Macaca fascicularis: one gene and its partners. The protein of the gene in region 2 purifies or fractionates together with the protein of the main gene of each other region. This does not show direct contact. Links are inferred from orthologs where the notes say so. Each region holds a gene or a part of one and is shown on either strand. Other genes may lie near its edges.

Region 1 (4,400 bases), on a different chromosome or scaffold from region 2:
GCTCTATGGCCCAGGCTGGAGTGCAACCATGTGATCTCGGCTCAATGCAACCTCTGCCTCCCAGGCTCAAGCGATCCTCCCACCTCAGCCTTCCTAGTAGCTGGGACTACAGGCACGCACCACCAAGCCTGGCTCATTTTTTTGTTTTGTTGGGACAGGGTTTTGCCATGTTGCCCAGGCTGGTCTCTAACTCATGAGCTCAAGCGATCCGCCCACCTTGGCCACCCAAAGTGCTGGGATTTCAGGAGCGAGTCACTGTGTCCGGTCAAGAACTTGTTTTTTAAAAAAGAGATGGCCGGGCGCGGTGGCTCAAGCCTGTAATCCCAGCACTTTGGGAGGCCGAGACGGGCGGATCACGAGGTCAGGAGATCGAGACCATCCTGGCTAACACGGTGAAACCCCGTCTCTACTAAAAAATACAAAAAACTAGCCGGGCGAGGTGGCGGGCGCCTGTAGTCCCAACTACTCGGGAGGCTGAGGCAGGAGAATGGTGTGAACCCGGGAGGCGGAGCTTGCAGTGAGCTGAGATCCGGCCACTGCACTCCAGCCTGGGCGGCAGAGCCAGACTCCGTCTCAAAAAAAAAAATAAAAATAAAAAAAATAAAAATAAAAAAGAGTTACACTTCAGGGTTGATATGGAGATGAATAGGAAAGAATGTACTTCCCAAGTGTTCAGTTCTTTTCTTACCTCACATTCTTAAGTTTTCTGAGAAGCAAACACATGCTTTAATGCAAAACTCATTTCACACCTTCTATATTCAACATTATCCTCCCTATTTCCTGTTTTGGGTAGAATTACTTAAGTAGAAATGGCAGAGACTGGGTTTTCTTTATCTTTTGTTGCAGTTAATGACAAGAGACAACCAACCTTAGAGAAATACATACAATGACGCCAGTGACTCACGCCTGTAATCCTGACACTTTGAGAGGCCGAGATGGGCGGACAGCTTGAGCTCACAAGTTCAAGACCAGCCTGGGCAACATGGTGAAACCTCGAAATCCCCTCTACTAAAACTACAAAAATTAGCCGGACCTGTTGGCAGGCGCCTGTAATCCCAGCATTTGGGAGGCCCAGGCAGGCGGATCACTTGAGGCCAGCAGTTCAAGACGAGCCTGACCAACATGGTGAAACCTCGTCCCTACTAAAAATATAAAAATTAGCCGGGTGTGGTGGCGGGCGCCGGTAATCCCAGCTAATCCAGAGGTTGAGGCAGGAGACTCGCCTGAACCCAAGAGGCGGAGGCTCAGTGAGGTGAGATCGCGCCACTGCACTCCAGCATGGGCTACAGAGCGATGATGTCTCCAAAAAACAAAACAAAAGTGCAGGTTTGGGAGGTAGTCTAATCCCCCACCCCTTCAGAACAAGGTAATTTCCTCAGGGCCGCAGTTTACCAAAGGTGGTACACTCTGGGGTGCTATCCTTTCCATTTTTTACAATCCCTGACCCTGGAATTCCCTGATGCTTTATCCTGTCTTTCAAATTAGGGCCACTGGTTTCGTCCCCAGTTCACCCCTTCATCGCTAGCTCACATGCCCTTTGTGGTCCTTCTTTCTCCAAACCTCTTCAGGTCAAGTCCTTAGAGGACCTTCAACCTGACCAGCCCCCTTGGTTCTGGTGCTACAGCTGGACTCCTCATGCTCTTTCAAGTACCATCCATTGGGAACGTGGTGTACTTTAGAAAACGCGGACCTGGCCTACGGCTTGTCTCCGCGGGGACAAGGCCACCGCTTCCAAGACAAACCAGCCCTGGCACCACCTTCTCACCTCCATCCCAAACCCTCCTCCTCAGTCCCAGGCCCTGTGGAGACAGACTTCCGAGGGCCCTAGAGCCTCAGACTTGTGGAGGCCTCGCCCCAAAGTATGTAAAGAATATAATAAATGCCCCCGACCTTAAGTACAATTCATAGCTAGATGGCTTACGTTGCGGCTGACAGCTTACATTTTGGTAGGCTAATTAATTTCGATTTACAATTGGTTTTCCCTTTTGGTGGTCAAGACGCTATTTCTGGCCTCAAAGAGCTTCGAGGCCTGGCACTGGCGCCTCCAGGGTCTAGAGGAGAAGGCGGGTCCGCGTCAGACCTCCCGCGACGGCCCTTCCACGCCTCCCGTTGCTCGTCTTTTCACCACCCTCCACTGTTGCTCCCTTCCCACCAGCATCCCCTTCCTTCTGCCTTGCCCGGCCAGGCCCCCACACCCCCTGGTACCAGCCTGCCCACCCCGCGGCCCGCTCGCCTGGGACTCCCCTTAGTTCTGGGCGCCGTACCTTCCTGGCTCGAAACCTCCCTTTCGCCCCGCCCCACGCAGAGCGCCCCAACCCACAGCCCCGCCTCCTCGCCGCAGCCTCAGCGGAGTTCGGGACTGCGCGCGCTCCAACTCCGAAATCTTCGCGCCACGCCTCCCACAAGCCCCGTCTCACCCTCAGCCCCGCCCCCTCGCCGCGACCACAGCGGAGTTCCCGGGCGCGCGCTCCTACCCCGAGCTCTTCGCGCCACGACTCCGACAGGCCCGCCCTGCCCTCAGCCGCGCCCCCCGCGCCGCCGCGGCCTCCGCAGAGTTCCCGGGCGCGCTCGCTCCTACCCCGAGCTCTTCGCGCCACGCCTCCCACAGGCCCCACCCCGCCTCAGCCCCGCCCCCTCGCCGCGGCCTCGGCCCCTCCTACCCCTAGCTCTTCGCGCCACGCCTCCCACAGGCCCCGCCCGCCCTTGACCCCGCCTTCTCCAGCTCCCATTACTTCGCGGGCCAAGATGCGCAACCACTCCCGAGCGCCTTTCCCAGGGCAGTCCCAGGACTTGCGCTGCCTACCCTCCCCCAGCTCAGCTGTATCCCTGGGGCCCGCAGGACCCAGGGGATCCGCCCTCCCGCGAGCACGCACGCGCAGGGCCCACCTCTGCTAGTTCCAAACCCTCGGCCCTCGGGTCGCCTGCCTGGGGCCCGGCCCCGCCTCTAGACCCGGCCCCGCCTTCGTGCCGGGGCCCGCGCACGCGCGCCTCCCCGGCCCAGCCTTGCCCCCGTCCCCGCCGGTCCCGCGGTCCCACAGCGCCTGGTTGCCCCCAGCCCTCTCCCTCCTCCCACCCTCGCTGTGTCCCACCCTCCCTAGCTTTGTGCCCGGGGTGCTGAGCCGTTCCCCGTCAGCCGCGCCGCGGGAGGAGGGAGCCGCCACAGAGGAGCTGCCGCTCGCTGCCCCGGGCAGGGGCACAGGTAGGTGGCGGCCGCGGGCCGGGCCGCTCGCGGGGCCCCGGGTTGCGTGTGGGAGCGGGGGCGGGGTGTTAGGGAGCGGCGGGGTGGGGGAGGGGAAGCCCGAGAGGGACGGCGGGGCGCGGGTTGAGGGGAGGATGAGGTATATGGGTGTGGACGATGGATTTAAGGGTGGCGTAGGGGTGCGGGGGCAGGCTATGGGGACGTGTGAGAATTGGGGTTCGGGGCCGGGGTGGGATAGGGAGCAGGATTAGCCTGGGTGGACTCGGGGAGAGGCACGCGTGGGGAGAGAGCGGAACGAAGGCATGCGTGGGGAGAGAGCGGGAAGAAGGAATGGGGAAAGGAAATGGGATTTTAGGGGTTCAAGGAGGAAAAGAGCTAGGATAGGAATAGAGAGGGTGGGGTCTTGGGGACAGGGAAGAAAAGTTGGGGGTGTGGAATGCCAAGTTAGGGATAGGCGTGAAGGAAGAAGGTCTTGAAGATTGAGAACAGAAGGCAAGGAAAGGGTTGGAGAGATTGGGGGCCTAGGAGAGGGAAGCCCCTAGAGTGGGAAGACGGGAAGAATAGATGGTGGAGGGAAGGAGTGGGGGTGGAGGAGTTGGGGAAAGAAAGGGAGGCAGGTGGAGGTTGGGAGATTGGAGGTTGGAAGGGTTGGGTCTGTGGAACAAGCAAGCCACCTTTCAGCAGGAGCACGGAAGGGCTGGAAGGGTCTGAGGCTTGAGGCGGGCAGGGGAGCTGAGGTGAGCGAAGGGAGTGGGGTTAGGATTTTTGGTGTGAGAAGCGCTAGAGTTGTTAAGAGTCACATTGTGGGAGAGATTGGCATGTTCTTGGGGGGCAGTAGGGAGCCTGAGAGAGGAAAAGGTATGGATGAGAAGGCAGTAAAGTGCATATTATAGGAAAAAAGTAGTGAGGAAAGTTGAAAATTGAAGAATGGGGACACACAGAACAATGAAGGTGGATTGTTGGTTATTGCTGGTTTAGAACTACCCACAGTTTAGTTTCTGTTCAGGTTTTTATTTAGAAATTTTCCCAAGAATACTGCATTTTCAGATAAACTAAGTGTGGGCAGCCTTGGGATGAAGGCCATGGGCTGGCAGATGTTCTCCTGGTATATAGATGTAGCTCATTTTGGGCCTGGCAGAGGGAAGAAGGGAGGCCTCGTTGTAACTGTCTTGGCTCTGTTCCCACCAGCTCTTTCCCTAGA
Region 2 (2,379 bases):
GTGGCACAATCTCGGCTCACTGCAACCTCCACCTCCCAGGTTCAAGCGATTCTCCTGCCTCAGCCTCCCCAATAGCTGGGATTACAGGTGCCCACCATCATGCCCGGCTAATTCTTTTATTTTTAGCATAGCGAGGGTTTCACCATGTTGTCCAGGCTGGTCTCGAACTCCTAACCTCAAGTGATCTGCCTGCCTCAGCCTCTCAGAGTGCTGAGATTACAGGCATGAGCCACCGCACCCAGCCTACTGCTCTTCTTTTTCCTTTTAGGATCCTGGAATTTGAGAACCCGCACGTTACCAGCAACAACAAAGGCACAGGCTGTGAATTCGAGCTATGGGACTGTGGTGGCGATGCTAAGTATGTTTCCTTTAAAGAAAGTCACTTCATCAAATGGTTTAAAAATCAGCTGCCCAGGCCAGGGGTGGTGGCTCACACCTGTAGTTCCAGCACTTTGGGAGGCCAAGGGGGGTGGACCATCTGAGGAGAAGAGTTCAAGAGCAGCCTGGCCAACATGGTGAAACTGCATCTCTACTAAAAATACGAAAAATTAGCCCGGTGTGGTGGCGGCCACATGTAATCCCAGCTACTTGGGAGGCTGAGGCAGGAGAACTCCTTGAACCCGGAGGCGGAGGTTGCAGTGAGCGGAGATCGCACCATTGTACTCCAGCCTGGGTGACAGAGCTGGACTCCGTCTCAAAAAACAAAACCAAACAAAAAAAATCAGCTGCCCATCAGGCACCATGAAGTTGGGCCTAGCATGTTTCCTGGCACATATGAGGAGCTTGATAAATTATTTGCTGACATGCATTGCTTTATACACTTCAGTGATTAGGTTATGATGCAGTTAGAAGTCATCAACCTTGGCCAGGCACAGTGACTGACGCCTGTAATCCCAGTACTTTGGGAGGCCGAGGCAGGCAGATCACCTAAGGTCAGGAGTTCAAGACCAGCCTGCCCAACATGATGAAACCTCATCTTTTAAAAAAAAAAATAGGGGCCAGGCACCATGGCTTACGCCTGTAATCCACTGCTTTGGGAGGCCGAGGCAGGCAGATCACCAGAGCTCAGGAGTTTGAGACCAGCCCGGCCAACATAGCAAAACCCCGTCTCTACTAAAAATACAAAACTTAGCCCAGTATGGTGGTGTGCACCAATAATCCCAGCCACATCAGGAGACTGAGGCAGGAGAATCACTTGAACCTGGGAGGTAGACGTTGCTACTGCACTCCAGCTTGGGCAACAGAGCCAGACTCTTACCTCAAAAAATAATAACAATTTTTTTTAAATGAAGAAATCATCAACCTTTAAAAAAACTAAAATTGGCCTGATGTGGTGCACACCTGTAGTCCTAGCTACTCAGGAGGCTGAGGCGGAAGGATCGCTCGGGCCCACGTTGGAGGCTGCAGTGAGCTATGATCTCACAACTGCACAATTTTAAAAGACTGCCCAGCCATCACCCACCTCCTACTTTTGTTGCTGTTGGCAACAAAAAGTAGAGCAAGACCCTGTCTCTTAAAAAAAAAAAAAAAAAAGTCATCAACCAACTGTTTCTTTTTTGTTGTTGTTGTTGTTGTTTTGGGATGGAGTCTCGCTGTGTCACCCAGGCTGGAGTGCAGTAGTGCAAACTCAGCTTGCTGCAAGCTCCGCCTCCCGGGTTCATGCCATTCTCCTGCCTCAGGCTCCCGAGTAGCTGGGACTACAAGAGCCCACCACCATGCTCGGCTAACTTTTTTGTATTTTTAGTAGGGATGGAGTTTCACCGTGTTAGCCAGGATGGTCTCGATCTCCTGACATCGTGACCCACCCGCCTCAGCCTCCCAAAGTGCTGGGCTTACAGGAGTGAGCCACCACGCCCAGGCTGTTATAGACCAACTTTTAATACTAAGATATTCTTTTTTTTTTTTTTTTTTTTTTTTTTTTTTTTTTGAGACGGAGTCTCGCTCTGCCCAGGCTGGAGTGCAGTGGCGCGATCTCGGCTCACTGCAAGCTCCGCCTCCCGGGTTCACGCCATTCTCCTGCCTCAGCCTCCCGAGTAGCTGGGACTACAGGCGCCCACAACCGCGCCCGGCTAATTTTTTGTATTTTTAGTAGAGACGGGGTTTCACCGTGGTCTCGATCTCCTGAACTTGTGATCCGCCCGCCTCGGCCTCCCAAAGTGCTGGGATTACAGGCGTGAGCCACCGCGCCCGGCCAAGATATTCTTTTTAAAGTCCACAGTTAGAAACCAGAATGACCTGACTTTCCCTCTTGTTCCTTTTCTTCCTCCCAGGTTTGAGTCCTGCTGGCCAGCCCTGATGAAGGATGCTCATGGAGTGGTGATCGTCTTCAATGCTGACATCCCAAGCCACCGGAAGGAAATGGAGATGTGGTATTCCTGC
Region 3 (4,260 bases), on a different chromosome or scaffold from region 2:
TAATCAACCAAGCAGCAAGAGTACAAAACATGTAGAACTGTTCACCAGGGTTGGTAGGCAGTGCAAAATAGTGTCTGTTTCGAAACAAGGAGGAATGGGGGTGTATGTGAAATAATGCAAATAAGTCTATAATAACTAATAGGGCCGAATTCACAACTGTCCAACAATCTTTCTTCCCCCCAATGGCCATCAAATCAAAAGGCCTCGATAATTCACCCTTTCAAGTTTCCAGTAATCCACAGCACTCACATTAAATTTTTAAATCATCAGGATTAGCGCAATTACTACTGTACTCAAAATATGAGATCAAAGACCTTACACCCGGGAAATGTAGTGCCTGTTAGAGCACAGAGCATGTAGAGTTTTTGTCAAAATGATTTAAGTGTCAGTAATAATATGTTAGTACCTTATTAACGAAAATGGTAATCTGGAAGAACCTCAGAGTTTAAAAGAGATCTCAAAAGATTACTCATTATGCATTTTTACTCTTTCTAACCTATCACCTATGGTAAACATTTGTTTTTATCTTGGCTGCATATTCAATCACCTGAGGAGCTAATAAAAATACTGGTACTTGGCCAAACATTGCTTCTTCCCTCATGAATGAATTAAATCAGAACTTCAGTGAGTGTAGGCCCAGTATGGGGTATATTTCAAAAGCTTTCTACATGTTTATAAGGTGTAGTCAGGATTAAGAAACTGTGAATGTCACATCACCAATCTAAAAATCATCTGTGGGCTCTTGCTTAATCCCCTGGTCTGCTAAACACAGTTCTATGAGGATCAGTATGATTTATACCTAAACATTATAGGAATAAAACTCACTAGCAACAACATTCAAGTCAGTTTAATCAAAGATCTTATTTTTCTTGTTCATGTGTAGCTATCATTATTATGTTTGCAATGTATTTACAACAATTATAATCATTGTCATAAAAATCAGTCGTGTACTCCTTCATGTTTCCCAAACTTTATCCTGCAGGATAAGTGTAAACGTTCTGGAAGATAACAGAAAGCTGGGAAGAAAAAAGGCCATGAAGTCCTTCCAGGTATATGCTAACTATCCTTTCAAAGCATCCACCCACCAAAAAGTCATCTTTTCGTTATTGGCAGATAACTCCTCTAGAGCACAGGAATGAACACCAATAGATACTGTAAACCTAGGACAGTGGTTCTCAAATATTAGTGTCCATCAGAATCATCTGGAAGACTTACTGAAACAGACCACTAGTCCCCATCCTTATAATTACTGAAAAGGTAGATAGACCTGGGAAAGGGCCTGAGGCATTTCAGTTCTAGTAAGTGCCCAGGTGATGCTGATGCTGTTGGTCTGGTGATCACACTTTGAGAACCATTAGACTAGGATATTCCCACACAAATCCATGATTCAAAGTGTCCTGCTGAACCCCTGAAGACACAGAGATGACATCAACAGAACCTTAAGGTCATTTTCTTTTCATTTGAAAAATACACTTGGAAAAAAATGCATTTTTATTAATACAGGAAATGTTGGTTGTCTATATATCCTGATCGATTCACTTTAATAATCCCAGGACTACCTTTTCTAACATGGATCAAGCAACACTACTTTTTTCCTTTATCTTTTCTCCGACTATGGACTAATTTAATATGAACAGTTTACATAAAGCCTACATATCTTTCAATTCAATTTATTGGAAGAGAGCAGTGGAATGAGATTAAAACTATCAAGGGAAATTATTTGAGCCTGGCTGTAGACATTAAGTACTATAGATTCTTACTATTGATTGCCTTTTATGGAATAAAATAAACGTAAGTATTAAAGTGAAAGAAAAGCTATAAAACTGATTTACCTGGCTACTGCTAAGCTACAGTGATTTGAGGAGAAGGTCCTAGCCGACCACTACCCTCAGCAAGTAATGGCACTGCGTTCAGGATATGTTGGACTTCTCCCCCACCGGAACAAGGGTAGAACTTTAGGTTCTATGATAGGAGACAATTCAATAGTTGTCATTCGTCTTTTCCACTTTTCAGTTTCTGAGAGTATGGTTATTGCAAAGGCAGAAGTCTTTTAAACCATAGCAAGTAGTTAACAAGTTTACTAGCCGCATTTAAAGCGCTCCTTAACAGGGTCGTAAGTACCCACGGTCCCCAGTTGTATAAACAGGGTCTTAAACAACAACAACAAAAAAACCCCAAACTAGAAAAAAAGCCTTAAGTGATAATGGCATTCCTCTCTGGAGACGAGATTTTGGGCGGTTTTATAATTTTTCTAGACATTTTCTTGTGTTTTTCTGAGTTTTCTACAATGAGTATTTGTTTTATCTTTACAATCATAAAATACAGTTTGTGTTTTGTGGTAATGCGTGTGTGTTAAACAACAACAACAACAACAAAAAAACAGGCAAGCTGTCTTCCAATCCTTTCTGCCGTTCCAAAACTTATTTATTCTCTCTACAAAAACAGCAAGTCAGGGCTGCGTGAGCTCCACGGACCTCCCCGGAGTTTGGAGTGAAGTGCCCTTCTCTGGCTAGGCAGACGGAGGCAATGAATTGCTAACCCGCTCTCACGGAATTGGTTCCCAGCAGGACCAAGGAGGGCATCTCCCTGGAGGCTAGCAGGCACCCAGGCGCTTGGGGACACCGGCACCCACCTGGACGGGGCCTTCAGGTTGCTCTTCCGGAGGAACTCCTCCTCGTAGCGGAGCAGCTTCAGCTTCTCCACCAAGTCCTCCATCACCACGAACATGTGGTAGGCCGCGCCGGGCCCCCGCTCCACGACCACTTCCCCGGTCCCTTCGCCACGGGACCTAGGCACCCCATCTTCCAAACCCGACGTCGTGACGACGGCCAGGGCAGCAGTCATCGCAGGACGGACAGAGTGCAGCGTGGGCTCAGGCCCACAGACCTCTGCGGCCTAAGCCGCCAGCCCTGCAGCAGCCAGTACAGCCACGACCGGTTACCAGGCGACCACCGGACAACCCGTCACCAGGGAAACTAGACTCCGCCTCCTTCCCTCCAATCAGGGCGGCTTTCCTGAATGACGTCGCCCGTGGCCCGCCTCTTGCCCTGCCTCCGCGGAAATGGTGGTCGGGAAGCAGCACCGCCCCTCATGGAGGCGTGGTGTTCGCGCCCCACCCCCCGCTGCCTCTCCTCCCTCGGCTTCTGGAAGACTGAGGAGAGGCGGCTAGTGACTCTGAGCTGGCTTGAGGTGTGTTGGACCTGGTGGTTGCTAAAGGCAACTAAGCGGGCATCTGGGTCAGCTAGTAGCTGTTAAAAAGATTAAAGGGAGGTGAAGACGTGCAGTATTGAAGGCTGCACTGGCCCACTGATACCTTTATTTTCTCAGAATTGAGAAGCTGTTCATAGTTGTAAAGATAGTCAATACCATAGGTTTCACTTTTACTGCAGGAACTTTCCAACAAGAGGTTTCTCTCGTTCTTTCTTTTTTTAATTTTATCTTTCTCTCACTAGGCAATGCTGCACATAACAGTATACTGTAGAGCTTGAAGTACTGTATTGCATTGCCTGGCTATTACTCCAGTGCTAGGAAAGTGGTTGGAAGGATGAGGAAGAAGACAACGAACAAAAGGAGGCATTTGGGAGGCTTTGTTTTACTTCAAAAACAAGAATACTAAGCTTCCAGCCTGCTGCTTAATCTGTTTCAAACCCATAACATGTAGTATAAAGTTTTTGGGTACTTCGTTAAATCCAGCAGAATAGAGATGGTCTTAAAAGGAATTTCCCTGCCCTAAAGCTCTAAGTGTGGCTAAAGATAGGGTGTTACTACTGTATTCTGCAGTTATTGACCTAGAAAATTCAAGAAAAGGTACATAACTGACCACAGAAATGGCCCAGCTTTACAGTTTTCAAAAGGATTGTGTATCGGGCAATTTTCTTAACAGTTGCAAAAAATGAGGTAAGTGGTGGATGCCTGGCAGTTTTTTGGAAGAAAACTTAATACAAGAGATTGAACATATATGTTCGTGTTTATAACGTGACTTTCAAGGGCTCACTGATCTCTTTCTTGTGTCTGCCACTACAAAGTATAGAAGGGCCACATTTTTGGATAACTGAAATTTGAAATGTATCTACAATATCCTGTTTTTGTTAGAAAAATGAGAACACACTTTTCATTTTAATCCGTCTACAGCTAACTTGTTTCTGATACTAATAAGGTTATCAAAGTGAAAAGTCAGTAGGGCAAATACCATTTGCCCTATTCATTAAAGAAAGGAAGTATTTAAAATTACATTCATTAAAGTATTCATTAAAGAAAGGA

Evidence for each region.
Region 1: the proteins of IFT22 (region 2) and IFT25 purify together in Homo sapiens (affinity purification with mass spectrometry; 3 studies listed by BioGRID and IntAct, with this or other methods). This does not show direct contact. The link is inferred for Macaca fascicularis from reciprocal best matches to the Homo sapiens genes IFT22 and IFT25.
Region 3: the proteins of IFT22 (region 2) and IFT57 purify together in Homo sapiens (affinity purification with mass spectrometry; 3 studies listed by BioGRID and IntAct, counting the BioPlex papers as one, with this or other methods). This does not show direct contact. The link is inferred for Macaca fascicularis from reciprocal best matches to the Homo sapiens genes IFT22 and IFT57.

Annotation. Positions count from the first base shown.
Region 1 is NC_088375.1:180,729,920-180,734,319, reverse strand, and holds the start of IFT25 (intraflagellar transport protein 25 homolog), read right to left. Parts: upstream 2,947-4,400; 5' UTR 2,733-2,946; intron 2,607-2,732; exon of another isoform or gene 2,418-2,606; intron 2,309-2,417; exon of another isoform or gene 1,922-2,308; intron 1-1,921. UniProt on the Homo sapiens protein: Component of the IFT complex B required for sonic hedgehog/SHH signaling.
Region 2 is NC_088377.1:49,966,349-49,968,727, reverse strand, and holds part of IFT22 (intraflagellar transport protein 22 homolog), read left to right. Parts: intron 1-268; coding exon 269-358; intron 359-2,270; coding exon 2,271-2,379. UniProt on the Homo sapiens protein: Small GTPase-like component of the intraflagellar transport (IFT) complex B.
Region 3 is NC_088376.1:174,868,513-174,872,772, reverse strand, and holds the start of IFT57 (intraflagellar transport protein 57 homolog), read right to left. Parts: upstream 2,947-4,260; 5' UTR 2,845-2,946; coding exon 2,633-2,844; intron 75-2,632; coding exon 1-74. UniProt on the Homo sapiens protein: Required for the formation of cilia. Plays an indirect role in sonic hedgehog signaling, cilia being required for all activity of the hedgehog pathway.